Canis lupus familiaris: one gene and its partners. The protein of the gene in region 2 binds, or shares a complex with, the protein of the main gene of each other region. Links are inferred from orthologs where the notes say so. Each region holds a gene or a part of one and is shown on either strand. Other genes may lie near its edges.

Evidence for each region.
Region 1: CIR1 (region 2) and SAP30 share a complex: the UniProt entries of both Homo sapiens proteins name them as parts of the histone deacetylase complex. The link is inferred for Canis lupus familiaris from reciprocal best matches to the Homo sapiens genes CIRSR and SAP30.
Region 3: CIR1 (region 2) and NKAP share a complex: the UniProt entries of both Homo sapiens proteins name them as parts of the notch corepressor complex. The link is inferred for Canis lupus familiaris from reciprocal best matches to the Homo sapiens genes CIRSR and NKAP.
Region 4: CIR1 (region 2) and DNTTIP1 share a complex: the UniProt entries of both Homo sapiens proteins name them as parts of the histone deacetylase complex. The link is inferred for Canis lupus familiaris from reciprocal best matches to the Homo sapiens genes CIRSR and DNTTIP1.
Region 5: CIR1 (region 2) and ZNF541 share a complex: the UniProt entries of both Homo sapiens proteins name them as parts of the histone deacetylase complex. The link is inferred for Canis lupus familiaris from reciprocal best matches to the Homo sapiens genes CIRSR and ZNF541.

The regions. Positions count from the first base shown.
Region 1 is NC_049246.1:24,118,803-24,124,953, reverse strand, and holds the start of SAP30 (histone deacetylase complex subunit SAP30), read right to left. Parts: upstream 3,428-6,151; 5' UTR 3,114-3,427; coding exon 2,799-3,113; intron 1,144-2,798; coding exon 1,018-1,143; intron 596-1,017; coding exon 497-595; intron 1-496. UniProt on the Homo sapiens protein: Involved in the functional recruitment of the Sin3-histone deacetylase complex (HDAC) to a specific subset of N-CoR corepressor complexes. Capable of transcription repression by N-CoR.
Region 2 is NC_049257.1:18,770,776-18,777,053, forward strand, and holds the start of CIR1 (corepressor interacting with RBPJ 1), read right to left. Parts: upstream 4,098-6,278; 5' UTR 4,001-4,097; coding exon 3,929-4,000; intron 1-3,928. UniProt on the Homo sapiens protein: May modulate splice site selection during alternative splicing of pre-mRNAs. Regulates transcription and acts as corepressor for RBPJ. Recruits RBPJ to the Sin3-histone deacetylase complex (HDAC). Required for RBPJ-mediated repression of transcription.
Region 3 is NC_049260.1:92,607,207-92,612,836, forward strand, and holds part of NKAP (NF-kappa-B-activating protein), read right to left. Parts: intron 4,107-5,630; coding exon 4,043-4,106; intron 2,078-4,042; coding exon 1,968-2,077; intron 1,875-1,967; coding exon 1,799-1,874; intron 602-1,798; coding exon 452-601; intron 1-451. UniProt on the Homo sapiens protein: Acts as a transcriptional repressor. Plays a role as a transcriptional corepressor of the Notch-mediated signaling required for T-cell development. Also involved in the TNF and IL-1 induced NF-kappa-B activation.
Region 4 is NC_049245.1:33,723,621-33,729,938, forward strand, and holds the start of DNTTIP1 (deoxynucleotidyltransferase terminal-interacting protein 1), read left to right. Parts: upstream 1-2,580; 5' UTR 2,581-2,618; coding exon 2,619-2,723; intron 2,724-3,304; coding exon 3,305-3,375; intron 3,376-4,249; coding exon 4,250-4,346; intron 4,347-6,318. UniProt on the Homo sapiens protein: Increases DNTT terminal deoxynucleotidyltransferase activity (in vitro). Also acts as a transcriptional regulator, binding to the consensus sequence 5'-GNTGCATG-3' following an AT-tract.
Region 5 is NC_049222.1:109,164,967-109,171,206, reverse strand, and holds the start of ZNF541 (zinc finger protein 541), read right to left. Parts: upstream 4,058-6,240; 5' UTR 4,013-4,057; intron 3,919-4,012; exon of another isoform or gene 3,878-3,918; intron 3,744-3,877; exon of another isoform or gene 2,861-3,743; 5' UTR 2,699-2,860; intron 1,766-2,698; exon of another isoform or gene 1,685-1,765; intron 1-1,684. UniProt on the Homo sapiens protein: Transcription regulator which is essential for male fertility and for the completion of meiotic prophase in spermatocytes.

The DNA of each region.
Region 1 (6,151 bases), on a different chromosome or scaffold from region 2:
ATGCCTCTAATAAAACAAGCTAACATCACCAAAGACAAATTCTGAAATCGTTAAATCAACAAGTTATAGGAATACTATTTATGGGCTAATCTGTAGACCTAATCCATCAAAAACTCAAAAAATTTATAATAAAGACAACAAAGCTTATCAATTTCTTTTATTATGCCTCAATAAGGTATTCAAAAAATGCTTCCTGAGTGGAATTTTAAAACCAACAGATTTCTAGAATGAGAATTTAAAAATTATTACCCGCTATTTCTGAAAGCCAGTATTAAAAGATATTTAGAAAGCTACATACAATCCACTGAGTGGTTGTTACATAAAGCAATTTAAGAGACAGACAAACATTTCTAGGAAACTAGATTCTTCCACAATAGATTTTTTATTAACTGATCTTTCTAACTGAGCTGTATTGTTATACGTACTACATTAACAATTTCATTAGCCTTTAATAACTTTTTTATATAAACAGGCTCATTTAAAACTTCATAAATACCTCAACAAGTTGTGCTTTATTAAGTCCTGGTCTGGTTGATAGTTTGAAGTGTCTTTTGTATCTCCGAAGTGTATTTACTTGTAATTGGTATAAATCAACCTAGAAAAAATAAACATGTAAGAATTAGTTCATGCAATTTTTAAATTGTTATCTTTGATATGCATAATAGCATTTCAATTTTGGTACAACAAAAATGTAATTAAGTAACAAAAATTACATTATTTAATTAATTCCATTCCATTACTTCTTTTACATAATCAAAACTACAAATATATAGAGCACTTCAATCTTTTGAAGGTAAATACTGAGAACTGGGAGCAAAAAAAGAAGGCAATAGAGGTATAAGCATTGTGAATTGAAAACATAAGTCAAACTACAACTGCCTATTAATTGGCTATATTTAATTTTGCTTTCATTTTCAGATTTTTCGCATTAAGTATTTTTAAAATTTGTTCCTATCTTTTAATAGAAGTTTCAGAATGGAATACTTAGGATTTACATTTAACATACAGAAACTTTACCTCTGGCGTATCGATATCTTGAACAGGTGAATCTCCTCCATCATCATCACTCCCTTTTCTCTTTCTTCTGTTTCGAACACTCTGAATTAAGTTTTTATGATAATCACAAATGTAAAGATGCCTTGCCTAAAACAAAAAAGTTTCACAGACTACTTATTATTATGTAACGTGTCTACGTATTAGTAAAATACATAGGGCACAGTGAATTATTAAAAATAAAAAGTCAAAATAGGCCATTGTTAAGACAACAGCATATTTCTATGCTTAAGTCCTGTATTCAGTTAGAACATACCGTGTCTGACAATAGGGTTAAGAGGATTGGAGAGTGGGGTGGGGAGGAGTGAAAGGAAGGAAGGAAGGGAAGCAGACAAGCAGAATGAGAAATTGCAATTGTCTGGATTTTTTAATTAAACTGTAGTGAGGGTGAATTAGATTTGTTAGGTCACGCTGTTTTTTTAATAAGTGGAAAGATGATGTTGCCCACAATTCTGCTACTGACAGTATTTTCTCTAAAGAGCACATTTTAGTAGCTTCATATCCTTTCTCAGTACTCAAATTATAATCCAGATACAAAACTATCCATTTTTACAAACGAGCTACCGATTTCATATACTACTTATATTTACATCTGAATTACAAGCTTCTGAGTATTTAATGAATGTATTTGTCTGTATTACGTTTTTTTCAACCAAAGGCAATGTGAAACTATTCAAGTTTACTTGAGAAGTGTCTCCCAAGCATGACTGAAGAACTCTTTAACAGGCATAATAGATCACAAACTTTGCAAAAGCTTCAATTAAATGTAGTCTTGAGCGCTGTATGGTAACATCTGAAATACTGGGCTGCATTATTAACAGTTTAAACTCCTTTAAAAAACAACAACAACAAGCGATTAAAGACTAAGGCTTTGAAATTTAACTTGTAAACGAAGTCCAAGTTAAAATTATGCAGGGCGTATGCTAGGTTCTGGCATCTTGTTATCCATTCACCGCCAGCCAAAACTCCGCAAAGTGCCAATGGTTGTTTCTGAAAACCTCACAGATGGTCAAAGAAACACAAGAAACGGACGTGTACAACAAGGACGGTAAAGGAAATCCGGATGCTGCCGAAGGGGTGGCAGCGCCGCAGAGGCAGCGGGCTCCCCACATTCCCGGCAGCTGCGCTGGATGCTGGCGGCGTCCACCAGCCCGGCGGTCTGCACCGCGCGGGGTGAGCTCGGCTCTCTTCCCTCCGCAACCCGGCGGACGAGCAGAGGAGTCGGTCTCCACCGCGGCACCAGGGCCTCGCTTGCAGGACTACACTTTTGCCTACAGCCGGGGGTTGCTCCCCGGGGCCACGCGCCAGCTTGGGCAGCAAAACAAAGGAGGAGCGGACAGGCTGCAAGAAAACTACTCCGGGCCCTCCGAGCCGCGGTGCTCTTTGTTTCGTGTCCCGACCTCAGGGAAGGAGGAAGGGGTTGGACGGCGAGCAGGGCGGACACCCGGAACGGGGTGGGGGTGCGCGGGGGTTGGGTAGGAAGGGTGGGGGTGGGCACGCGAGGGAGAGGAGGCGGGGGGGGGGCGGGGGGAGCAGCGGACCCGCGGCCGGCTGGCGTGGGTCTGCGGGGGAGGCGGTCCGAGTTGCGGCGACTTTGTGGTTCGCGTCCTACCCGAGACCACGCGACGGGCTCGCGCCACAGCCAGGTCTAGGGGACCCCCGAACCGTCCGCCCCTGAACCCCGGTCGGCACCGCTCCGGGAGCCCCAGAGCAGGGCAGGGCATGGCCGTCCCGCCGTCACTCACGCTCTTCTCCAGCTCGATTTTCACCTTCTTCTGGGAGATGCTCTTCTGGATCCTCTTGCTGAAGCTGGCGTTGCCCGCCGCCCGGCCGCACCGCTCTCCGTCCTCCCGCAGGCAGCACAGCTGTCCGGGGCCCGGCCCGGCCGCCCCCGGGGGCCCAGCAGCCGACACCGCCCCGGCACCCGGCACCTCAGCCCCGGCGCCGGCCCCTGCCCCGTTCCCGGCCGAGGCGGCCGCGGCGGCGGCGGCGACCACGGCGGCCACTGCGGCGGCCGCGTCCCCGCCGCGGCTCATCTCCTCAGGCGTGAAGCCATTCATGTCTCCGCGTGCCGACAGAAACCCCCGCTCGGCTCGCCGCTCCCCCTCTCTGCGGAGACTCCGGGGTCTCCGCGGGGTCCCTCAGACACCTGACCCCGCCGGGGCGATTCCTCCAGCGGCACCGCCACACACCAGGCGTCCCGGTCTGCTGTTGTCCGCTGGCGCCGGGATGGGGGACAGCGTTTGGGGTCAGAAGCCAGAACCGGGCGGCGCCAGGAGTTAGGACTCCGGTCACTGTCACATGGAGACGCTTCAGCAGTTGGACCCTGGCGCCTCCGCCTCCCTCCGGCCCCCCGACCTGCGCACGCGCGACGAGCCCTCTCCTGCCCCGCCCCTTCCACTGTGTGGCAGGGCACCATGGGAATTGTAGTTCTTTGAGGGGGAATCACTCTGAGTTCCACCCCGAACTGGGCGCCTTGGAACTACTTATGCTAGCATGCATCGCGCGGCGACGGGCAGGGCTTCGGCTGCTAATTTATTTATTTATTTATTTTAAGTCAGTGGGAAAACAGGGGCGTGTGGTTAGGGGTGGTGATGTTTTCTCGCTTCTAGTCTCTCCCAGGAAGTTGCTCCGTCTTTCGCTACCGGGATTCTGCAGTGTTGGCGTTCTACTAGACAAAGCGGCCACCCCGCTCCTGAGGCGAGGCGCAAAATGTTCTGGGCGGGAAGCTAGGAGGGAAGGTGCGGCGTGAAAAAGTTTCGGGGCCGTTTTCTTACTGTGGAAAAAGAATTTTTGGTGTGGCCATGCTTTTGTGGGACACCCAAACCAAGGAGAACTCGGGGAAGCTGGCGCTCTTCGGGTCCGGGAGATGCCGCAGGTCCCGGGTCACAGTTCCATTCATTGACACACCAGCTGAGGCAAAAACGCCCTTCCGACCTCGACCGTGACAGGGCCGCTTCCCAAGTGCCTCAGCTGAAGGCCGTTTTTAAATCCTTGCACGTTCCTGCGAAGATCGGGTTTCATTTTGGGGCGATCAAAGTTGGCCGCTTCCTGCGGTGGAGCGGCTTCTTTCCGCCTCCACCCCCACCCAACCTTCACCGTTTCTCTTCTAAAGGCCCTAGAGAAAAGTGGGATCCAGGACCCTGTCCAGGGGGACGTGGAGCCCCGATATAGTTAGCGTGAGTGCTCCTCGGAAACTTCCCGGCGTTCTCTCTGCGGAGTGAAAGGCCAGAAAGAACCCGCATTTCCTGGGGTATCCGCCCGCGCCTGTGCGTGTAGAGTGCGTGCGTGCGTGTGTGTGTGTGTGTATCCGCCCGCGCCTGTGCGTGTAGAGTGCGTGAGTGCGCGTGCGTGCCCGTGGGCGCGTGCTTGTAGGGGGCGGGGCCGGGGAATGGAGCGGCTGATAGGAGCGCGTGCGCCTTTGCCGGTTGCTGCGCGTCACTGTGACTGTATCGGATGTGTCCTGTTTAGCCGTCCTTTGGCTTAAATAAAAATACGAACCAGGTTCTTTTGCAAGTTCTTTCAGGCTTGCTGAGTGAATTTAGTGATAGATGATTTTTTAAAAAAACCTAAATGTCATCTGCCCTGAAATTCAAAGCCATCCATTCCGTCTGTGCTTTTCAGTTCTAGGCTATGGCAAAGGGAAAAACAAAAAACAAAAACAAAAACAAAACGTTAAGATATTATTACGTAAATTGAATGAGCAAAAGGAAGATGCTGCATGGTAAGTATGTTGTGTTACCCTTTTTATTTTTTAAGATTTTATTTCTTCGTGAGAAACAGAGAGAGAGAGAGGCAAAGACACAGGCAGAGGGAGAAGCAGGTTCCCTGCAGGGAGCCCCATGCGGGACTCCATCCTAGGACGCTGAGATCGTGACCTGAGCCCAAGGTAGATGCTTAACCACTGAGCCACCCAGGTGCGTCTTGTGTTTTGTTTTTTAAGCTGCACTCTCCAGTAGGGTGTCTGATAGCCCAATGTGCCTATTGAAAGCTTGAAATGTGGTTATTTCTACTGAAAAACTGTTAATTTAACTTTAAATTTAAAAAACAGATTTCAGTTATTGTAAAGACTTCAAGTGTGTTTGGAACAGCTTAGATACATGAATACATTTTTTTTTCTATCTAAATTTTGTGAAATCTAAACTTAGAACCCAAGTTGAGATGTGCTGCAAGTAAGAACTGCTGACAGGATTTCAAAGACTTAGTACTAGAAGTTTTTAAAAAACTATAATGAATGGCTCATTGATACTTTTTATATTGATTATATGTTGAAATGATAATATTTTGAATTTACTGGTTTAAATGAAATATAACATTAAAGTTTACCTGTTGTTTTAAATGTGGCTACAAGAACGTTTAAATGTTTACATATGTGGTTCACATATTTTTGTTAGATAATGCTGGCTTAATCTTTTAAACAGAATACTAGTATCTGTTGTTTGTGCATGTATTTTCTTAAGTGGTGAAAAAGGAGAACATATGGACAGGATGGATACAGTCCAACTTCAGGGTGGGGTTCCTATCTCAGGAGAGAGGCCAAGGAATTGTATCTGGGAATGGTTTAAAGGTGGAGTCCGTTGTATTTGTAGGTTTTTATTTATTAGGAAAATCTGAAACAAATGTAGTATTAGGATGTTGGACTTCCATATTTTTTGTGCTTTTGTTTGTTTTTAAAATAACTCATAATACTGTTTGGTCCTTGCTCTTAAAAGTTTATAATGTATCTTTTACAAAATATGAACAAATTACTTCATGTATATGTTAATGGTTTAGCAAGGTATCCATTTCATATGAATTTTACTAAAGTGACAAATTGTGGCTAGGCTTCCTGTACACAAAATACAGTATTTTAAAAGATCCAATTAAACATGTATTGCTTACTAGGATTTTTTCTAGGCCTTAGGATATAAAAATAATTGAAACAGAGTCCTAGCCATTTTGGGGCTCACTGTCTGGTAGAGTAGCTTCACAAGCACACAATACAGGCTGCCAAAGACTGAATGTTTATGTCCTCCCTCCTAAAATTCAAATGTTGAATGTGATGGTATTCTGAGGTAGCGTCTTTGGAGGGTGATTAGGTCATGAGGTAGAGAGGTAC
Region 2 (6,278 bases):
AATATGTCTAGTCTAGAAAACACCTACGGCACAACCAGTAGGAATAAACAATGCCCATGAGTATCACAGACATTCCAAAAGAGGAGAAATGGAGGATAAGGAATAGAAAAAAAAAAAAAAAGAGATGGAAAGGTAGTTGTAGAAAAAAGGAAAGAGACAAGAGAGAAAACAGGTAACAGAGATGTGTCAAATGTCTTGAGTTGCTCAAGGGTATCAAACCACAGGCTGACTGTGTCTCTAGGTGAAATCCTCAAAATCATAAAAGTACTGGAGGTAAAAAGCCCACACAACTTATACAAGAATACTTAATCAGGTTATTTCTTGGTTTCAAAGGTATCAGTGCCTTCCTACTGCCTTTACAGTAAAGGACACAGTATTTGACAACCATTCAATGTAAACAAGAAGTCAAGACTTTCTCTCTAAATATGCTGTTTTAGGAAGGTAAATTGGAGGACAAATACTTACATTGATAAAATTATAATTATTAATATGGGGGCAGATAGGTATGCAGAGGAGAGTGTGGGACAAGACTGCCATTACTAAATTCTAGAAGCAAAACAGGTGTAGTTACCAGTATTTTAATAATGATGAAATAGGAATGTTCTAGGGGACACTGTTTTAGAAGTGGGTAAGAAGGAATTCATATGGAAATAAAAGCAAAAACAGAAATGGAAAGGCAGGGCAGCCCCAGTGGCCCAGCGGTTTACCGTGGCCTTTGGCCTGGGGTGTGATCCTGGGGACCTGGGATCGAGTTCCACATCAGGCTCCCTGCATGGGGCCTGCTTCTCCCTCTGCCTGTGTCTCTGCCTCTCTCTCTCTCTCTGTGTCTCTCATGAATAAATAAATAAAATCTTAAAAAAAAAAAGTATACAGTTAAAAAAAAAAAAAAAAAAGAAATGGAAAGGCAATTCTCCAGGGACAGAATATACCAGAAATTTCTTTTGGTATGTTCCCTGAAAGTTTCTCCCACTGACTTCATACTTAGCAATGTAATGTTACAGTACAAGAAACACCTACATTTAAGATAGGCACATTTGGAATTTTTTACTGTAGCTCAAAGTGAAAACAGCTGCAACAAAGACACGCAGGGTGTCACTGTCTCATAGAATAACACATTAATAATAACTTTCAAGTGGAGAACATATTATTTCTAACAGAATAACTACCATTTATTTAAAGCTCTAAATTTTACAAAGTTATTTTACTAATCTCAATTGCTCAAGTGCTTAAATACATTTTGAGTACCATGGACTGAAATAAAAATAAAATACATTTTTGCCTTCAAAATGCTCAGAATATGCTGATAAAAAAATCACGTTAACTTCTGTATGTTTAAACTATTTCACGATAAGAAAATGAACTGTGCAAATAATAATAAAGTTTGATATCTGGATAATAGAAATATATACAAGAAAAATAAAACAAGACAGTGACTGGAGGACAGGAGGAAGGCTGGTATAATGGAATGCTTTATAGCAAGTTTTGCTTTTTAGAGTTAATTTTTCTAAGATTTGTTTATTTTAGAGAGAGAAGAGAGAGCATGCTCACATGAGGGGGGAGGGGCAGAGGGAGAGAGAATCTGAAGAGCCCCATGGCAGGCTTGATCTCATGACCCTGAAACCATGACCTGAGCTGAAACCAAGTGTTAAATATTGAACTAGCCACCCAGGTATCTCTAGAAGCTAATTTTTAAATTAGGTAACTATATTTTCAGGTAGCCAAAGTTATCATTTCTTATATATCTTTCCAAAGATGTTCTAATGCATATACACATAATCTTATATATATGATTATATATATACACATACACACACACACACACCCAATATATGTAACAAACATACATTCTTTTCTCAATCTTTTCATAAATGGTAACATATACTGCATACTTGCACACAAAATATGTATAAAATAAAACTGAATACTATGGAGATCATTTCTAGATTAGTTTAAAAAAAAAAAAAACTTTCTTGGTTTTGGGTGGAGAAGGGGCCGAATATCATTCTACCGTGGAGCTATCGCACCATTTATTTAACCAATCTCCCGCTCTACTGATGGGCATTTAAGCAATTTCTAATCTTTTGCTATTATAAACTTTGCTTCAACAAATAACCCCATACACAAGTAACTTTATACATGTTAAGCAGGGTTTTGAAGAAGTTCAAAATTTTGACAAGGAAAATACAGGGTAAGACATGTGCTATATCCACACAATGGAATTATTCAGCAATAAAAATGAATACAATACCGATACATTCTACAACATGGATTAACTTTTAAAACATACTAAGAAAAAAAATCATTCATAAAGGCCAAATACTGCATGATTCCATTTATAGGAAATTTAAGTTTAGGTGGAAGATAATGAAGGTCTAAGCTAAGAAATAGGCTGTAGTGACAAAGAGGAGAAATGAATTCAAAAGATATTTGGAAGGTAAGACAAACAATTTATTAGCTACCTAGATAAAGGGGTGATGGAAAAGGGATGAATCTGAATTTCTGGCCTGGGTAACAGAATGAAGGAATGTGTTACTACCTCTATTTCCTACCCATATGAGATAGGAAGTATAAAAAGATAAGCAGATTTAGGATGCGATACATATTCATTTCAGATATCCTGAGTTTGAGATGCCTGTAATGTGCCAGGATGATACTGTCTAGATCATACAGTTGTCTTGTACCTTGAGCTGGGGGAGAAAAGTGAGACTTCAGATTTCAGAGTTGTAAAGTAGTAGTTAAAACCATGAAAGTGGATGTGACTGTCTGGGAAAGCATATAAGGTAAACAAAGTAAGGCACAGGCCAAGGATGAAGCTCTGGATAACATATGTATTCTAAGAGCAGGCTAAAAATAAATGTGTGTATGGAGGGGGGGGGGGGCAATTAATACTTTATTGAGCAATCCCTCCATGTGGTGAGCCCGGTGCTAGGTGGTGCTTTGTTTCACAGCCTTTATCTGCACCATCTTATTTATTCCTAACAATTTCGTGGTAACGGATACTTGTCATTTTAAATTTACAAATTAGGAGACTGAGGATAAGGGATTTTAAATATTTGTGTAAGGTCTGGAGTTTAAAAGTGACTGTACTGAAATAATTACAATCCTGGTCGGATTCCAGAAAGGTCAGACTTTCCTATTTCCTACTTCACCACTCTGCTTTCCACGGCCATACTATTCAGCACGGGTTTTTCCGTACTGCACCGAGTAGACCTGTAACTGATCATTTAAAAAGCCCAACAGGGGCGCCTGGCTGGCTCAGCCGCAGAGTATGTGACTCTTCCTCTCCGGGGTCGTGAGCTGGAGCCCCGGGTTGGGTGCAGAGATTACTTTAAAAAAAATCATTAACTCCATAAATAAAGCCAAACATCGTTGTATATCTGAAACTAATGTAACACTGTGTACACCTCAATTTAAAAATATTACGTAAAATAGCCCAACTTCAAAGAGATGAGACAGACGCTACATTTTCGGGTGGGATAAAAAATAAAAATTTAAAAAAGGGGAAGCAAGAGGTGATCTTACTTCCCTTTCAAGATCTGAAGGAAACAGGGAATCACCTTTGGACAGGATGGCAGAGCTCAGAAGCCACGATCCCTGGGATCCGAAAAGACAAAACCAGAATCATTTGAGGAAGTAACTACGATCAGACTTCTTCGTTATCTTACAGATTTACATTCTAGCTGACGAGCCGACCGAGCAGACGAAGGCTTGCCCGTCTCCTGGCTGATGCCAGCTTCGCCGGCGAGCTTCTCCGGGGAGGAGAAGGGGCGAGAAGACCAGGGCTTCAGCCCGGGGAAGAGGCGACTGTCCCGGGAATCCCAAGACACCGCCACGGTCAGCTCCAGCAGCCCCGGGCAGCCCAGGCACCCCCGGCCGGGACCCTCCCCGGCTTCCCTTACTCACTTTTTTTTTTTTTTTTCTTACTCACTTTTTTGATATTGGATTTGGAGGCAGGATGAAAGTCCTTCTTGCACATGAAATTGGCGAAAGATTTCCCCATCTTAAAGCCCGAGCTGGGGAAGCTGGACGCCGGGTCTCAGAACAACGTAAACAAACGCGGCCGCCTAACCGGAAGTGCGCCGCCTGGGGCGGCGGGAACTTCCGCGGTCAAAGGTGACCACTTCCGGCAACTCGCGCCTTCGCCCGCCCCGCAGGCCCCGCCCCCTGTCAGAGGGCGCGTGCGCAGTGGAGCTGCCGAGCCGGGAGGTGCTGCGTGGCGGCCCGGGGGCTCCGGGAGGGGGTCGGCTGCGGGTGGGCAGGGCTGTGCGAAGGTGTCCCTTCCGCGGACTCTGACTCGACTTACCTAAAGTCTCCGCACCGATTGTCTCGTCTGCAATGTGGAAGTAGCGAATTCTCGTGCAAACTCTGGATGCTTCTGAAAGCTCTCGGTGAGCTAAAGCCTGTGCCCTGGAAATTGCCAAGGTCCACAAGGAGCGAGAGGGTTTATGTTTTGTTACCGGCTGTACCGTGTGCCTGATGTGCATAGGCATTTGTTGAATGATGAATGCGTATTTAGGAGCTGGCAAGGGCTCCCGAGCTTCCCCCACTGCTCTACCAACGAGGTGGCCTGTTCCCTAGCCTCTCCTGCGACCCCCGTCGTGCAGCTCCATGTTTTTTTTAAGATTTTATTTATTAGAGACACACACACACACACAGAGGCAGAGACACAGGCAGAGGGAGCAGCAGGCTCCACGCAGGGAGCCCGACGTGGGTCTCGATCCCGGGTCTCCAGGGTCACGCCCCGGGCTGAAGGCGGCGCTAACCGCTGAGCCACCCGGGCTGCCCCGAGACCCCAGGGTTTTGGGTGCCCGGAGCTGCTACTGCTGCAGGGGCTCCAGCAACCAAGCCCTCTGGCAGGGAGGCGGGGGGTGCGATAGCGAGAATAAACCTCTTGGGAGCAGTTTACCCTTTTGTCCAATAATAATAACAGCTTGCAGGGAAGGATAAGGGAGAGGCCCCCAGAGTCGGGCTCCTACCCACCCCGAGGAAACAGATAAGACGGTGAAGACAGGAAAAAAAAAAAAAAACAAAACCTAGCTCCCTAGCTCCAAAATGTTAGGGAGTTATCCCCCTTTACCTGGCTGCTAAGCGATCCCAGAGATCCAGATGTAGAGGGATGTTATGGAGGAGATCCTAACCAGAGGGGAACCCCTGGTTTGAGCTCGTGACATTTACAAAAACATCTTGTTGTGATGATGCTCACAGGCCCCCACTGTGTTCCTTCTAAATATCCACCGTGATATTGATAAGAAATTTACCAAGTTCCCTGGTCACTTTCCTATAAAAGACAGACCCTAAAAGCCCTGGGTGGTAACCCTGTCTGGACCCCTCTCCCTTTTGAGAGCTTTCTCTGTATCTCTGCTTAATAAAGTTCCATCGCTTTGCTCGCTCTCTTGTCCGCAAGATTCATTCTTGGACTACAAGAGACAAGAACCGAGCTCGCCTGTATTGATTTGTTCCATGCACTATGCAAAAAAGCTTGGATAAATAAATAAATATTTTTTAAAATGTTTAATATTTTTATTTTAAAATAAAATAAAATATGCACCCCCCCCGGGCGGGGGGAAGCCTGGGTGGCTCAGCGATTGAACGTCTGTCTTTGGCTCAGGGTGCAGTCCCAGGGTCTGGGATCGAGTCCCCCACATCGGGTTCCTTGCAGGGAGTCTGCTGCTCATGTCTCTGCCTCTCTCTGTGTGTCTTTCATGAATAAATAAATAGAATATTTTTAAAATATTAAATATTTTTAAAAATCCAAAAAAGCTTTATACATTGTCTTATTAAATTCTAATAAGAAAAAAAAATTCTAATAAGAGCCTCCTGAGGGATTTACCTACGAGGGGGAAGGCTTAGATGGAGATTAAGGAGCCTCCCCAGGTTGTGCAGTGGTAGAGCTAAGCTCAGAACACAAATAGAAGGCGATCCAGGACACAAAGGTTGAAGTTCACCCAGCGGCTAGTGACCTCCCTCCTCCAATAACAGGAAAAGAGAAAAAAGTCTTTAAGAGTTTCAGGCTCATGGTGTTTCTTTCTTGAGTCGTGCTGTTCTCTTTCGAATGAAAACATTTACCAGATTTATATTCTGTTTTAAATTGCTAGCATCTGTTTGTGTAAAGCCATTCTAAAGTTTGGTCATTATAAAATAAAGGAGAGCAGGAAACTCTAAAACAGTATGTCCACTCTGGAAGCACACACGTTCTATGGGAAATCAGGGGTTTAAGATTTTCCAAGTTACAAATGAAGACACAATCTTGATACTAAATTCTACAGTCAGGATTTACA
Region 3 (5,630 bases), on a different chromosome or scaffold from region 2:
TCATTCGCAGAGTCCACAGATAATTAGAACCTACATTCTCTGACTCTACAGAAAACTAGAGGCAAATTCAGAAAACAGGATACACTGTCTCATGAAAATGATTTCCTACTACCAGAATGCCATATTCCTCATGGGGCAGTGATAAATAACTGAATTAACTATATCCTCCAGAAGACAAACTACCTGTACCAAAATACAAACTAGGAAAGGACACTGGAAAGATTGATCTTTGAAGTTGGAGAGATAGCTGATTTTGAGGATGAGTTGCACACTTACCTGGAATTTTAGACAACTATGTTTATACCAATAAAACCAATATTAAACCAAAATCTATACTCTACTTTTCATAAGGAATGATCACTTAATGAAAATCAATTACCAAAATATAATTCTGGTAGTGAGAAAGGAAAAGATCTAATCATGGAAACTGATCTTGATGCCAGTAACTTACCTGCTACCACTCATTACATAACCCGAGCATTCAAATGATGCAATTTCTTCACTTGTCAAGCCAATTTCACCTCTTCTTGGGATACGTTTCCCAGCTTTTACATATTCAGCCATAGCTGCACCCTCACCAGGTAACAGAGCATGGCCATAGCTACAAAGTAATTCAGAATTCAGAAAAGGTTCATTATAAAAAGTATATCATCTAAAGAGAGCACAAAAAGATTTTCTCTCAGAAAACAGCACAAATAACAGTTGCTGAGTGGCAGCATGCTGGGAAGCCCAACATGAATTACTTTAATTAGTGAACACTGCACTCTGACCTACATAACTAACCCAGAAATACAGACATGCTTTGGAATAACAGAAGAACTGATGTTAGTGAGCCTAGATTCATGGTTTACAATTACGGATCAATTTATCCCTACAGGCACTGCCTTTATGGCTTCTGCCTCCAGTGAATTCCTTTCCCGTTTAACCCCTTAAAGAAAAAAAAAAAAAGAACTAACATATCTCAAATTAACATACTTTTTAGACTCAGAACCAGTAACAATGCTATACAATAACAATTATCTATTAACTTTCATTTGAGGGGACTTTAAAAACTATCATCCCTTCGATTCAATTCATTGACTACATCTTGAATACCTATTAAACTCAGAGCTTATAAGACAAAAATAATCTCTCTTCTTATGGAATTTATATACTGATAGGGACATAACTGCAATACAATGCAGAACATATAAAAAACACTGCACAGAAGAAAGAGAAAATACCGTGAGGACTAGAAGATTAAAGAGGGGTAGGAATCCCATCTACTTGTAGAGAGAAGGGTCCTGGGAATCAGCACATGACCCCTCCTTTTGAAAAGAGCTTTGAAAGATGGTAAGGATGTTAACAGGATGAAATTGGGAGTAGTGAAGAAACAAGGGCAGGGAAAAGAAGTGAAGGCATGTTGGGGGAAGACATAAGGTGAACAAGGCATGACGTGGGAAAGTACACAGTAAATATAGGGACGTTTTAGTTCAGCTCATTTGGAATTTGGCATGTAAATAAGGGCATAGAGGGAGATACAGCTGGAAGTTGGAAAGGTAAGTTAGGGCCGTACTTTCAGGAATGTACTTCAAGATATTTTATTTATATTTATTTTTAAAAAGATTTTATTTATTTGAGAGAGAGAGAGAGTGAGAGAGAGCAGGGGGAGGGAGAAACAGACTCCCTGCTGAGCAGGGAACCCGATGTGGAGCTTCATTCCAGGACCCCAGGATCATGACCCAAACTGAAGGCAGATGCTTAACTGAGCCACCCAGGTGCCTCTACTTTAGATATTTTAAATACACTGTTAACTTACTTCAAAGGTTTATCATCCTGAGAGGCAAGTGTTTTTGGAGCCTCTGGGCCAATTAAATCTGAGGGTTCTTCAGGCTCTACAGGAAAGATGTTCAGAAACAGATTCATATTTTGACTAGTTAATTTAATGTTTTATCTGTTCTGAGTCAAAGTCTACCAGAAGAACTTACTTGATCGATCCTTCCAGGGATTCTCCAGAAACTCTTCCTGGGAATCTTTAGAGCTTGAATCACTGGAATCTTTTCTACTCTTCTTAGATTTCTTTTTCTTGTATTTCTTCCTGTAATTATAATTTGATATAAATACACTTAATACTCCCACATTAAAGGGAATCTCACATTTTTTAGGCAATGAAAGGCTGATGAAAATGATTTAAGTTCTCAGCTGACTAAAATTTTTAGAGCAGATTTTTAATAAAAAAAAATTTTTAGGGACGCCTAGGTGGCTCAGCGGCTGGGCGTCTGCCTTTGGCTCAGGGCATGATCCTGGGATCCGGGATGGAGTGCCACATCGGGCTCCCTGCATGGAGCCTGCTTCTCCCTCTGCCTGTGTCTGTCTCTGTCTCTCATGAATAAAATCTTAAAACTTTTAAAAAAGATTTTATTTATTTATTTGACAGAGAGTACAAGCAGGGGGAAACAGAAAACAGAGGGAGAGGCAGAAGCAGGCTCCCCATTGAGCAGGGAGAGCAATGCGGGGCTTGATTCCAGGACCCTGGGATCATGACCTGAGCTGAAGGCAGATACCCAACCGACGGAGCCATCCAAGCACCCCTAATTAAAAGATCTTTTAACTTATTTAACCAAATCATGTTTCACTATAAAAAAGATTTCTCAAGGGACAATGAAATATGGTTCTCACATTGCAAAAAGATAACAAATCAGTTTAAAAAACAATTTGAGCATCAATAATTTGAAGTGTAATGATTAAAATATATCAACTATGTTTGAATCCTTGGGTTCATAATGATATTTAAAAAGTCCAACTCATTATTTTGAAAACTCATAAAACCAAGAAAGTTTTAGAAAAAGTCATTAACCTGCCTTTCCTATATAAACTGTACTTCAGAGTAACCAAATAGTTGATGAGGGTAGGTTTCTCTTATAGAATTATTTTACCTAATAAATGCAGAAAGACAGAAAAAAGCAAGCAAGCAAGAAAGCCAGAATTAGACTATCACCATTTTGTAATCCCTAATGAAATAAGGAATCTAAGTAATGACAATCCATGGCTATTAATATGACAAAAAGAGACAACCAGACATTATCTGGCTCCTGACAAAGTACACAGCAGCACCTATGAAGTATGTGCGCCAAAGACTCAAATCTGAACATCAATTCTCTAGACCTTACTGTCAATATATAGGAAATAGAGAAGACAGAGAACATGTTAAAAGCACACCATAAAAACACAGTCAGGTGTGTCTGGTTGGCTCAGACAGTGGAGCATGCAACTCTTGATCTTGGGGTCATGAGTTTGAGCCCACTAGGTATAGAGATTACTTAAAAATAAATCTTTTTAAAAAATAAAAAATAAAAATAAAAAACCTTTAAAAATAAAGAAAAAAATTAAATACAATCAGCAACTCGATAGGTAAATGATTTGGTTTAACAAATAAATTGCAAGAAAAAAAGGGAAGGGGAACCAACTGATTTAAAGACATGTAAGAAATGTATCAACCAATCACAATTTATGGGCATTATTTGAATCCAGATTTAAATAAACTATATAAAAACCTGCTGAGAATTGAGGAATTATTCCTAAATATCTTAGGCACAGTAACAATATTGTGATTTTTGATCACAATAACAATTATGATTTTTTAAAAAAGAATGGCTAACTTTTAGAGAAACATGCTGGTTTATGGACAAAATGATACCTGGGATTGGTTTTCATTTTTTTAAAGATTTTATTCATTTATTCATGAGAGAGAGAGAGAGAGAGAGGCAGAGACACAGGCAGAGGGAGAAGCAGGCTCCATGCAAGGAGCCCAATGTGGGACTCGATCCCGGGACTCCAGGATCACGCCCTGGGCTGAAGGCAGGCGCCAAACCGCTGAGCCATCCAGGGATCCCCTGGGATTGGTTTTCAAATAATGGGAGGGCAGTGGAGATTGTCCAAGGGTTGAAATTATTAAGCTAGGTGATGGTTACACAGGGGTTCATTACACTATTTATCATTATTTATTACTTTATTTTATATATATTTTAACTTTTCCATGATAAAAATTAAAGAGAAAACTGACGATCTATGTTTCTTCTTCTTTTCCTTTTTCTTGGCTTTCTTTGATCTTCTTTTTGTATCTTCATCTGCAAATTAAAGCACATTTTAATTAAAAACAAAAATTTAACTCTAAAACCCCAGAATTTTTAGTAGATAAATATCCTATTGCTGCCCTATTAGTTGTTACAGAGAAATTTATTTTTTAAAGATTATATTTATTTATTCATGAGAGATACAGAGAGAGAGGCAGAGACACAGGCAGAGGGAGAACCAGGCTCCATGCAGGAAGCCCGACATTGGTGACTCAATCCCGGGACTCCAGGATCACACCTTGGGCGGAAGGCAGGCGCTAAACTGCTGAGCCACCCAGGGATCCCCGAGAAAGCTATTAATTGAAACATTTATTGCTACTCATCTGGATATGTGTTCAGTACCAGGGACACAGAAATTAAAGTCACACTAAGTCTTCAGTGATACAGAGTATTATTAATTTTATTGGGTGAGATAATGGCATGGGGTAAGTAGGAAAATGTCATTGTTTTTTAGAGGTATATATAGTAATCTTTAGGGTAGTAGTGTGATATTTCTAATTTACTTTGAATATCTCAGCAAAAAAAGCTATTTAAAGCAAATGTCAAAATACTAAAAACTTAAAATCTAAGTGATATGTGTACATTGTATTATATTATTTTCCTTACTTTCTAATGTTTGAGTATTTTCATAATGAAGAAAGCAAAAATCCTATGTGTTTGGGCCCAGGGACATGCTTTCTAGGGGCTCAGTCTAATGGAGGAGGCAGACATAAAGAGATAAACAGAATCCAGAGTGATACAGGGAAGCATGGGGTGCTCTGAGTGTACAGAAAAATCTCATTATCAGGCTGGCCTAGGGAGAACTACCCTTAAGCTAGTTCTTTTTAAAATCAGTTTTATTACAAAAGTACTACATGACCATTATTGAAGTGAGTAAGCCAAGCCACATGCAGGGAGAGACTGGCACTGTACACAGATGGACTCTGTATCAAGTGACAGAAGCAAGAGAAAGAACGCAAAATACTGAGGAGATAGAAGATAGTTCTCAGGTTACAGAGGATGCTGCAAGAGTGACAGGATATGTGTGATTAGAGAAGGATCAATCAGGGTTTGGACTTTACCCTGGAAACTACAGAGTACTGAAGGATTTTTTTTAAGGATTTTAAGTAGGAGACAGACATACTCACATTTGTGCTTTAAGAAAGTTCATTCCAACAGTGAGAAAGAAAAGTAGCAACAGGAGCCAGGAAACCCAGGTGACATCAGAGGAAAAGACACCTTTACGTAATGTGTCCCCAGAGGCAGCACCCTCTATCAATCACCAGCCAGAAGGCACAAAAAGGTGGCTTTCTATGAGCCACCACTCCACAGGGAGTGTCTTCCATAAATCACATGCCAGCCTGAAGGGGGTCCTTTATGGTGTGCTTTTTTGAAAATGGCCCAGAGGTGCCCAATGAGTGTGAGAATGACACAAGAGAACTGCTCCATGGGCTGATAGAGCCCTGTATGGCTTGCTTTGCTGCCACATAGTCTCACAGCCCAACTCTGCCTTGGTTCGCTGCCACATGCCTTGCACAG
Region 4 (6,318 bases), on a different chromosome or scaffold from region 2:
CTCCCAAAGGGCACATGTGATGATGGTGATCAAACTCTGTAATGCAATATACACAACACTCATGGGCAGGGATAAGGAACCTGGTTGGTAGCTGGGGAAATGAAGGGATGGCCACTGGATTAAGGATCAAAGAAAGCCCTAAAGGGCTTTGGAAGGACACAGCTGCAGCCAAAGAGACAGAGGGAAGGACCAAAGACAGGACTTAATCATAACCAAACTAACAAAATGCGGTGTGGCTCCTAGCAATCCAAAAAACAGAGTGGAGCAGACTACTTAGAAAACATCAGAAAGGGGCAGCTGGGGTGGCTCAGCAGTTTAGCGCTGCCTTCGGCCCTGGGGCCTGATCCTGGAGACCAGGATCAAGCCCCACATTGAGCTTTCCTGCATGGAGCTTGCTTCTCCCTCTGCCTGTGTCTCTGCCTCTCTTTCTCTCTCTCTCTCTCTCTCTCGAATAAATAAATAAAATCTTAAAAAAAAAAAAAAAAAACTACAGCAAAACCGTATGTGAGTTTGTTCAGAACTAATACAAATGCACCAAACACCTACATCTTGGTCCATCTAGCCCATTCAGGCCATTTTTGGATTGCATGAAGGCTAGCTGACAGAACCAAAAAGAAGTTGCTATGATTCAAGTAGTCTAGACCATCTATACTCCCTTACTTTATCTCCTCTTCTTCTATTTCGTTTTACTTTTATCTGTACTGTTGACATGTCCTGTCCATGATGACTTTGGTCAGACATGATATTTAATGGTATCCACTGACGTTGCTTGGCCCAGTAAGATTAAAGAGCAGAGGAAATTCAAGGCTTAAAGCAAAAATCTCGGGGCACCTGGGTGGCTCAGTGGTTGAGCAACTGCCTTTGGCTCAGGTTGTGATCCCGGGCTCCTAGGATCAAGTCCTGCATTGGGCTCCCCACAGAGAGACGACTTCTCCCTCTTCCTATGTCTCTGCCTCTCTCTATGTGTCAAATAAACAAAATATTTTTTAAAAAAATAAAAAATAGGGCAGCCCTGGTGGCGCAGCGGTATAGCGCCACCTGCAGCCTGGGGTGTGATCCTGGAGACCCCGGATGAGTCCCACGTCAGGCTTCCTGTAAGGAGCCTACTTCTCCCTCTGCCTGTGTCTCTGCCCCTCTCTTTCTGTCTCTATGAATAAATAAAATCTTTAAAAAATAATAATAAAATAAAAATAAAGCAAAAATATCCACTATAGAGCCAGAGTTTGGTGCCAAAGAGTTGCCTTATTGTTTTAAGGTTGATATTGGACCATGGAGATAATTAACATTTGTTGATAACCTAACATGTGCTTTATATGTATTATCTATTTTAATCCTCACAATAATCTTGCAGAGGTAAGAAAACTGGTTCAGAGGGGTTGAGAAAGAATGACCAACGTCATAAAGCTAGTAAATGGTGGTTACTGGAATTTAATAATAGCAGTGACAGATAGCATTGCTTGGGGGTTTACCTGTGCCAGAGTTCTTCACATGAATTAGCTCACTTAATCCTTAAGTGCAACCCTATTAGTTAGGTACCATTGTCCCCACTCTACAGATAGGGAAACTGAGGCACAGAAAGAAACCTGGATCACACAGAGGGTGGTAGACCAAAGGCAGGCAGACCAATTCCATAGTCAATATTCTTAATCACCATATCATGCTGGATTTGAACTCATATCTTTCTACATTAAAAACTCAGGTACTGGGGCGCCTGGGTGGCTCAGCGGTTGAGCGTCTGCCTCTGACTCAGGTCCTGATCCCAGTCCAGGGATGGAGTCCCTCATCGGGCTCCCTCCAGGGAGCCTGCTTCTCCCTCTGCCTATGTCTCTGCCTCTCTCAGTCTCTCATGAATAAACAAAATACAAATAAAAACTCATGTACGTTTTACTATTCCACATTGTGACCTTGGAAAAGGAACTTTCTCTACTACCCGTAAATCGATCCAGTTCTATTTACGGACATCCTACCTCTAAGCCAGAGCTAAGGGGAGCTTTGCGAAACTCCATAGCTGTTAAACCTCTGCATCCCCGCCCATCCCAGGATCACCTTCCTGGAGAGAGAAGCCCAGGTCGCTGGGGCTTGGGAGAGTCCACGGGCCAAGACCCAACCTTCATTATGATGCCTTTAGATGCAAGAGGCATCCCCTGGAGCCTAGGCCTCGAGGGACCCGGTGGGTGTTTGGAAGGGCATGGGCCAGACCCCCTCTTGAATTTTCGGGTCCCCGCATTAGGCGCACTCTACGGCTTTCAAAGACTGAACTGTGGGCCCCGCTGTGCTCCCCTCCGCACCTAAGCTCCAGCCCCGAGAGCCCGCTCTCGTCCTTCCTGCCCCGCACTTCTCCACCCGCCTTGGCCCAGCGGGGAGCGCTCCCGGGCCAAATACCCACAGTCCGCACCCGAGGAGCCGGCCGGGCCGCAGAAGAAGCCCCCGCCGCGCGGCTCACAGCGCCTGCCTGCTTCCGGGCCCCAGCGGGACGCGGCCTTGCGGTTCCCATGGAAACCCCGCGGCTCGCCGCGTCGCGCTTCCGGGCCGGCTCGCGGCGCCCTCCAATGACGTCACAGGGCCACTTTCCGGCCGGTGGCAGAGTCGGGCTGAGGTTGGGGGGCGCCGGAGGAGCCATGGGGGCCACTGGCGACGCCGAGCAGCCGCGGGGACCCGGCGGGGCAGAGCGGGGCGGCTCCGAGCTGGGCGACGCGGGCGCAGCGGGGCAGCTGGTACTCACGGTGAGGGCGCCCCCGGGAAGGCCGGGGCCGGGGCTGGGGCTGGGCTCGGGCCGGCTGGGCCTCGGGCTCCCGGGACCCTGGCCCGCGGGCGAGAGAACGCGGCGGCTGGTGCTGCCCAGGGCGGTGGCGTTTTCGCAGTCCGACCACCCGGATTCAAATTCTGGTGCCGCCCTCCAGGCTAGGCGATGTGAGCCGGTCCTGTCACCTCTGAGCTCCAGTTTCCTCTTCTGTAAAATGGAGAGGATTGGTGCCTGCCTCGTAAAGTTGTTACGGGGATGGGGTGTAAAGGCGAGCAGAGCGCCCAGCACGCTAGCAGCCCCAGAGTGGTCCCTCGGTAAACACTGGTTCCCTTCCCTCTCCCATCCCAGAAAGGGTGGGGTTGGGACTTTTCCAGGCAGGAAACTTCAGTTCCTCCACCCCGGCAGGACCTTTCAACCGCTGCCCTCCCGCCTACCCGAGGGTGGGAGAGATGCTGACAGTACCTGAGAAGCAGAGGTGTCCACGTTTAACTTCATACTCACCGTCCACCTGTACCCTAGTGTCACAAGCCTCGGTGACATCTGTTCCCTTGGTCCCCACAGAACCCTTGGAACATAATGATAAAGCACAGGCAGGTGCAGCGAAGGGGCCGCCGCTCACAGATGACAACAAGGTAAGGCTGGGCCTGAGTATTGACCTCCCCGGCATTGATTGGCTTGGATGGCACCCTTGGGGTCCCCACTACACAGAGCTGAAGAGAGATCAGCAGCTGTTAGAAGGAGCAATGGACTAGGAAAAAGGAGACTCGGCTTTTGTCACTCTGGATGTGACCTTGGTTGAATCATTGCCACCTCTGAACTCTTGTACAAAATAGGAGGAATCATGAATTCAGCAGTGCCTAAGATCCTAACACTCACTCGCTCTGTGGTTGAGGGCTCTAAAGAGGCAAAATAGCATAGAGGTTTAGAAAAAAGTGGGGCTGGGGCACCTGGGTGGCACAGTGGTTGAGCGTCTGTCTTCAGCTCAGGGCATGCTCTCAGTCCAGGGATGGAGTCCTGCATCGGGCTCCCTGCATGGAGCCTGCTTCTCCTTCTGCCTGTGTCTGCCTCTTTCTATGTGTGTCTCATGAATAAATAAAATCTTTTTTTTTATTTTTTTAAAGAAAGAAGTGAGGCTAATAGTAGTATTTATCTCAGTGAAGGGAGAGAGCACAATGGACCCATGGGATCCTGATTAAATTTCTTGACCTGAGTAGTGATTAAGTGGATGTTCACTAAAACTATTTGTTAAAATGAAAAAAAAAAAAAAGTGTATAGACTTTGTATTTCATAAAACACTTTAAAAAATAATACTTATTTTGTAGGGTTCTTATGAAAATGGAATAAAGCCATACATATGTTTCATTTGCACAGAACCTGGGCACATAGCTTGTTTTCAATAGAAGCTATTACTGTTATTAAAGGAGCCTGTGTCAATAATTGGCTGGGCAGACTAGGAAAGATATGTTTGGGACATGACCCCTGACTGTGTCTCCCTCCTGAATGCAGTTTCACAGATCCTGCCATTTCCATGGACCTCCTTCGAGCTGTCCTGCAGCCTAGCATCAACGAGGAGATCCAGACGGTCTTCAACAAGTATATGAAGGTGAGAGGTACAGAGATGCAAGGGCAGACCTTTCCTACATTACAATCCCCCTCGCTCTTTTTGGTACAAACAGATGAGTCAGGTTTTCCAATTCTGAATCCCTGAGAACTTTTTTCGCCCTCTTTAGAGGTAATTTGAATACCTCTTTCGCCAAGCTATTATGAGGATAAAATAATTTAAGTTTAATGTGCTCTGCACCATGTTACAAACAAGTGTCTTTCTTATTTGTTTAACAGGATCAACATTATTATTATTTAAAATTCCTTTCTAGGCCTATAAATAAACTTCCACATGACTCTACCTGATTGTCCCCTAGATGCTTGAAACAGCATGTCCAGAGCTGAACTCTTTCTTCCTAAACCTCTTCCTCTTATGTTTGTTTATTCATTCAAGAAGCATGTACTGAGCACCCACCATTATAGCAGGCACTGAGGATGCAGCAGCAAACAAAATGAACAGTGTCTCTGCCCTCTTTAAACAAATAAGTACTATGCTAGGAAATGCCAGAGAGAAGGGGGAGAGAGTAACCAGTGGGGAACAGTAGTGCTGTTTCATAGATTGTGTCCAGGAAAGCCACATGTGAGCAGACACCTGAATAAAGGGAGAGAAAAACAAGCTGTGTGGACACATCAGGGGAAAACACCCCAGGCAGAGGGAACAAGAGCAGACACCCTGAGGCAGGAGTGTGCTTGGACACTCAAAGCAACAAAGTCTCGGGCAGCCCCAGTGGCTCAGCGGTTTAGTGCCACCTTCAGCCCAGGGTGGGATCCTGGAGACCTGGGATCAAGTCCCATGTCAGGCTCCCTGTGTGGAGCCTGCTTCTCCCTCTGCCTGTGTCTCTGCCTCTCTCTCTCTCTCTCTAATGAATGAATACATAAAATCTTTAAAAAAAAAAAAAGTCTCCAGTGTGGCTAGAGCAGACTGAGCCAGGAGGAGAATAAGGAGAGGTAATCAAAGAAAATAGGGGCCCAGTTCATGCAGAACCTTTGAGGCCATGGTAAGGATATTGGGGTTTACTCTGAGTAAAATAGAGGCCCTTTTAGACTTTTGGGCAGAGCACTGGATCTAAACTTTTTTTTTTTTTATCTAAACATTTTTTTAATATTTTTTATAGATTTTATTTATTCATGAGAGACACAGAGAGAGAGAGGCAGAGACACAGGCAGAGGGAGAAGCAGGCTCCATGCAGGGAGCCCAACGTGGGACCTGATCCCGGGTCCCCAGGATTATGCCCCGCCAAAGGTGGCGCTAAACCACTGAGCCACCAGGGCTGCCCTGATCTAAACATTTTTAAAGGGTCAGTCTGACTGATGTGAATCACCTGCAGGAGAATCAGTTAGGAGGCTTGAGAGGATAGTGGCTTGAGTGTTAGCAGTAAGGGTATTGGGAAAGAATCCCATTCCATATGTATTTTAAAGGGGTGTGGGAGGTTCAGTCAGTTAAGTGTCTGCCTTTGGCTCAGGTCGTGGTCTTAGGGTTCTCGGCTTAAGCCCTTCATCAGGCTCCCTGCTCAGTGGGGAGTCTGCTTCTTCCTGCCTCTCCCTTCACTTGTGCTCACTCTCTTCTTTCTCTCTGTCAAATAGATAAAAATCTTTAAATAAAAAATAAATAAGACAAAGGTATTGCTGATGATTCAGATGTGCAGGGTAAAAGAACAACTAAGGTAATCATGCAAGTTATCTGTCCAGGGCAGCTATAACAACAACGTTGCCACTGACTTGATATGAGGAAAACAGGAACAGGCAGGGGGAATCAGGAGCTCAGTTTTGGACACGTGAAGTTTGAATTGGACTACATTCACTTAGAAACCAGAAACCTAGGGCTCTGCCTTTCCTTCACCTTCTCCACCCAGAGTCCTGTACATTCCACTTCACAATCTGTCTTGCATACCTTTCTTCTTCCTCACCTCTGCCTTGGTTCAAGGCTCCTACTACAATTTCCAACTGCTGCTCTTCTTCCCCTGCATCCATAC
Region 5 (6,240 bases), on a different chromosome or scaffold from region 2:
CCTCTCTGCATCAATGTTACCAGGGAGACAATGATCATGTCCGAGTAAGGTCAGATTGTTGGAAGCTGGGAAATATGAGAGACTTGCAGCTTCTACCCCAGCTATGCAAGTCCTTGCCTTGTTTTCCTACTCCAAACATTATCACAACTATAGTCTTGTTTTGTTTGGCCTACACAGTGCTTTTTGCAACAGGGTTAGTCACCAACTTTTTTTTTTTTAAAGATTTTATTTATTCATGAGAGATATGCACACAGAGAGAGAGAGAGAGAGAGAGGCAGAGACACAGGCAGAGGGAGAAGCAGGCCCCACTCAGGGAGCCCAATGCAGGACTCGATCCTGGGACTCCAGGATCACGCCCTGGGCCGAAGGCAAGCGCCAAACCACTGAGCACCCAGGGATCCCCTTTTATAAATATTTTATTTATGGGCATCCCGGGTGGCTCAGTGGTTTAGCATGTGCCTTCAGCCCAGGGTGTGATCCTGGAGACCCGGGATCGAGTCCCACATCGGGCTCCCTGAGTGGAGCCTGCTCCTCCCTCTGCCTGTGTCTCTGCCTCTCTCTCTCTCTCTCTCAAGAATAAATAAATAAAATCTTAAAAAAATTAAAAAAAATAAAGATTTTATTTATTTATTCATGAAAGACACACAGAGAGAAGCAGAGGCACAGACAGAGGGAGAAGCAGGCTCCCTGTAGGGAGCCTGATGCAGGACACGATTCCTGGACAGGGAGGGATCATGCCCTGAGCCAAAGGCAGATGCTCAACTGCTGAGCCACCCAGGCGTCCCATTCACCAACTTTTTTTTTAATGGGGAGATTTCAACTAGATATATTAATTTCTGGCTTTTCTTGAAAATTATTAGATTTTGCATTTCGTGATAGTTATTAGTAGGACAGAGATGAGGGATAACTGCCATTTCTGAACAGATGTTCCCAAAGATCCTTGCTTTCTTCCTGTCTGGCCCCTATAATTATGATCAATATAGATACCAACAATAGCAGCACACACTTGAGGCTTTGTCCTATGCCAGGCACTCCTGGAATCACTTATGGATCATCTAATTCCCACAACACTCCTTTGAGGCACATCCTCTGTTCTTAACCCTGTTTTTACAGATGAGGTAAATAAAGCCCAGAGAAGTTAAGTAACTGCCCAAGATCAAGGTTAGAATTCAACCCCGGGTATTCTGATGTCAAAACCGTCACATGTAACCACTCATCTATGGTAGGATTCCACACCTGAGACTGGGACTCCTGCCCCATGTGCCGTACGTCCTTTCCTAAGCTGAACAACCAAAGAACACTCCCTCCCTTGATCATGTAACCATTATAATTTAAACCATTAGGGTAACTCATCTCTTCTGCTCATTAAAAGAACAGATTTACAGCTCACATTAAGAACTAGATAGAAGACAAGGAGGAATCAGAAAACTATGACTATGCTTTCTAAGAAAATTTCTCACATAGAATTAACTAAGGGAGGAAAAGAGACCTCAAGCCTTCTCATTCCAAAAGCTGATCCTAGCATAAAATACAAATAAGCATTAACATCTAGAACAGCAGGTTTTCCAAGTGAGGCGGATGGGGGTGGGAAACCTGGGGGGTCCTCAGAGTCTTGCAGGGATTCTTCGAGTCAAAACTATTTTCATAATAATATTCAGACATTACCTGCCTTTTTCATTCTCAGTGAGACTTTCCAGAAGCTACAGGGAATATTTCAAAAGGCTGAATGCAGTAGCAGAAATAAGATTCTAGGTGACTCCAAAAGGTAAGACAATGCCACTATTCTCACGAAATTTCTTTCTGAAATATCATCTTTCAAAAAATATTTAAAATAGTCAATTTTGTTAACATAATAAGCTTATCACTTATTTTTAAATGAATAAGTAGGGATCCCTGGGTGGCGCAGCGGTTTGGCGCCTGCCTTTGGCCCAGGGCCTGATCCTGGAGACCTGGGATCGAATCCCACGTTGGGCTCCCGGTGCATGGAGCCTGCTTCTCCATCTGCCTATGTCTCTGCCTCTCTCTCTCTCTCTCTGTGTGACTATCATAAATAAATAAATGAATAAGTATTTTAAAAACGTATTAAACCTCTAATAGTGCAAATATCAGCAGTATAGAGTTCACGTGCACAAATTCTCTGGGATCTTCAATGATTTTTAAATATAAGGGGGGGAGCCCTAAGATCAAAAAGCTAGAGAACTGTGGCTGTAAAGAGGAAAAGTCCTGCATCCACATGTGCCCAAGTGGGTGAGTATCTGTGTATGCAAGTCTTACACAGAAAGAAACCCTAAACCAAATATTCCAAACTGGTGGCCAGCTGGCATGTTTTGTAAGGGCTCCACACTGCCTTTAAATACCTATTAAATTCATTGTCACCATTTACAGATCAAAAGGTTTGACATAAATATAGTGTCTCTTCTCAAAAACAATTTTTTTTTAAAGTTCTGGCAACACTGTCCTGGCATTTCCACTGACTGGTATCACTTAGATGGGGCACGTGACCTTTGGTTCATCACACTGCAGGCATTTACCAATATGCACTATACATAACCTTTTCCTTATCTGACCTCACAAAGCAGAAACTTATAATGGTTTCATCATCGGTACAGAGACTTGGGCCAATTAGAAATCCTTCTGAGAAAGGAAGGAATCCTGACAAAGAAGGGATCTGTGGACAGGGGCAAAGGGGAAAACTCACCAGGAGAAGAACAAATGAGTGAATCTCCAGGGAACAGGAGGGCCCAATTTAGGACCCACAGGGAGGGGGTTCAGGTGACCGTCAGACCACTGGATATTTCCTCCTGGAACTCCGGGTAGCAAATTCAGGACACTCATCCAACTTCTTGTGTCCTGAAAGCAGCTGGTGGAAAGGAAGGGGCATTCAGAACTTGGGTCCCCAAAGAAGCAAGCACACAGGTGTGAAACTGTGGGGATGACAGGCAATTTTTGGAAGAAGGAAGGAAGCAATACTAAATTGGGGAGATCTAGATAGGGAAAGGGTTTTGCAGTTAAGGGAGTTATTTTTGTCTTTTCCTTACTTTCCTTCCTAGGGAAGGGACCTGAGGGGTTTGCTGGGAAAAGCCTAATTGGGGTAAAACTGGTGATGGACAAAAAAGGGATTTTTGCTGAAGAGGTCGAGAAGAGCGTTGGAAAAACAAGTATTACATGAGAAACTGGAAGAACAGAGCTCCTCTGCTATCAGTGGAAAGATAGGACAAAAAGGGGGGCTCTTGGTGGGCAGAAAATTTTTGCTGGAAAGAGATCCTGAATGGAGGAAAAATCCAGAAAAGAAAAAAATATATATATATATTTATATTCTTTTTTGCTAGAGAAAGTTTCTAAAAGGAGGTTGAAGGGTATAATCAAAGAAGAGAAGAGATTTTTGGTTTTGCTGGAAGATCCTAAAAGAAAAATTCGGGTCCCCTATTCAGGAGGAAAGGTGATTTTTAGCAGAAGGCCTGGAAGCTAGAGCGAATGCAAGGCCGCGGTGCAGAAAGCGCCGAGGTCGGTAGGGCCCGAGGCGCGAGCCGGGGGGGGGCTGCGAGGGGGCAGTTGGGGCCTGCGGGGCGGGGGAGGTAAGGAAGGGGATGCAGTGGGCCAGGGGCCCCCCCAGGAGAGCCTTCTCCAAGGGCGAAGGGCCTGCGGGGTGCAGCGGGGCCCGGAGCTGTTGGGGTGCAGAAGGTGCGTGCGTGACGCGGGGTGAGGGGCGCCCGCCGCGCCTGCTGCGCTCCTCGAAAGGGAGATGGGCCCCCTAAAAAACAAATATATAAACGAATTAGATTTTAAGGGGGGGGAGGGGTTGAAAAGTGAGGAGGGGCGGGAAGGGGGGGGTAGGGAGGAAAGGGAGGGGGCAGGGGCAGCAGCAACCGGGTTTTACCCGCCCCCGGGGGCTCGCGCGCCGGCCTCGAGCCTCGCGCCGGGCGGGCCTCCCAGCGGCCCCCTGCCCCCCTCGCGCCGCCCGCCTCCGGGCGCGCACGCGCACCTCAGCCCGCCCCCGGAGCGGCCCGCTCACCCGCGGCGGGGGCGCGCGTGCGTGGCTGCGGGTCCCCCCACGACACCCAGGGCGGCCTCGCGCGCCCCTCGCGCCGCCCGGGCTCCCGGCGCGTGCCGCCCGGCGGCGAGGTCTCCGCAGCTATTGGGCCTCGGACGGGAGGGGGCGGGGCCACGCGAGGGGCGGGGCTTGGTGCGGTCAGGTGACCGACGGCAGGCGGGAAAGGAGGCGGTTGGTCGCCATTTTGCGAGGGGGGCAGTTGAGGCTGGGAGAGAGTCAAAGTGGAGCCCGGGAAGGGCCTGCGGCGGGGGCGGGGACGGGGGTGGCGAGGGGCCGGCCTTCCGGGCTCCCCGACACCCGCACGCGGAGGCCCGGAGTCGGTCGGCTCCGGCCATTGTTCCTGGAGGGCGGCGTTAGAACGCAGCGGCGGGGGACTCGGGCTCCCAGCGGCCGCTCCGAGCTGCGGTGGCCCGCGGTGGGGGCTGCAAGGGCGGGGTCCCGCCCGGCCGGGTCTCGGGGTCCCTCGAGGCAGCCGCGGCGCGAGCGGGAGCCGCGAAGACCTGCTCTTCGGTGGGCTGGGAAGATGCGGCTACGCGGCCCCGTCGTGCCGGGGGTGGGGGTGGGGGTGGGGGTCCAGCTCCCCGCTGGGTCCTGCTGGGCGGAGGGATGGGACCGGGGTGAGCCGTGGCCTGAGGGTGCTACCCCAGAGCCCCCAAGACGGGCAACTCATCCCCTAGGAAGTGAACCCCGACCATCTGAGGAGTTCGAGAGCAGCTTTGCAGGCGCCTGGGTGGGAATGGGGACCCCCCCCCCCGTACCGGAGCATAAGGGCATCTGATTGGGGTGATGGAAAGATTCTAGAAGTGAGCGGCGGTGGTTGCACGCCGTGCTGAATTCACTAGAAAAGGTTGGATTTTATGGAAATAATATCTCAGTAAAGTTTTGTTGATTTGATTTTTTTTTTTTTTTGATCCCTGGGTTAGACGGACGGAACAGAGAGGATAAGAAAAAGACCAGCATTCTACTTTTGGATTCCTTCATTGAGCAAATATTTATTGAGCTTCTGATCTGAGATAGAGCAGACGGAGCAATGTCTGAGTCAGACGCACATTCCCGCTCGAGCTTGTGTTCTCAGCAGCGCTGTCCAAATGATACAGGATGCAATGACATGAAATTAGCTTTAATAGTACAACCTAAACCAAAATGTTGGGGCACCTGGGTGGCTCAGTTGGTTAAGCACCTGCCTTGGGCTCAGGTCGTGATCTCAGGGCCCTGGGATCCAGCCTGGCATGGGTCACACTGCTCAGTAGGGAGCCTGCTTCTCCTTCTTCTGCCTACCACTGCTTACTTATGCTCTCTCTCTGTGTGTCAAAAAATAAAATTGTAAAAAAAAAACACAAAATGTTATTTCAGCATGTAATCAATACAAAATTTTTAATAAGTTCCTTTTTTTTTTTTTTGGAAAGTCTGGACATCTTAATCCAGAGCAGTCACATTTTGAGTAGAGCCACAGGTAGCTTAGTGACTCTGGGACTGAAGAGCATACCTCCAGTAGGAGACAGGAAAATACATTTAGAATGCAATGTGGTTATACTTTAAAGAAGAAAAGAGAACGGAGATTATCAGAGGATGCTATTTGATAACAGGTCAGTGACGGTCTCTCTGGTGAAGTTACACTGAGCAGAGACCTGAAGGAAAAGATTTTAAAAATAGCTGGTGGAAGAGCAAGTGCAAAGGCCCTGAGACAGGAAGACGTGGATCCATTTGAATAATAACAGAGACCAATGTGGCTGCATCTATGTGGACAAAGAAAAGGGTATACTAGGCATGGATTGTGTAACGCCTTGTAAGTTCTGCAAAGACAGGAATTAAACACCTTTCAATTTAGGAGAGTTTTTTTTTTTTTTTTTTTTTTACTTATATAGCAAACATTTTAGAATATGGAATTTTTTTTTTAAGATTTCATTTATTTATTCATGAGAGACACAGAGAGAGAAAGAGACAGGCAGAGGGAAAAGCAGGCTCCATGCAAAGAGCCTGATGTGGGACTTGATTCCGGGTCTCCAGGATCTCACCCTAGGCCAAAGGCAGGCGCTAAACCACTGCGCCACTCAGGGATCCTGGTTCATGGGAGTTTAAAGAACAGGACTTACACTCCTGGAATAAATCAGTATCTTCCCATCCTTTGACAAACATTTAACACTTTATGGACAAAGAAGATAACTTGTGACATATAACACAAAAAATTA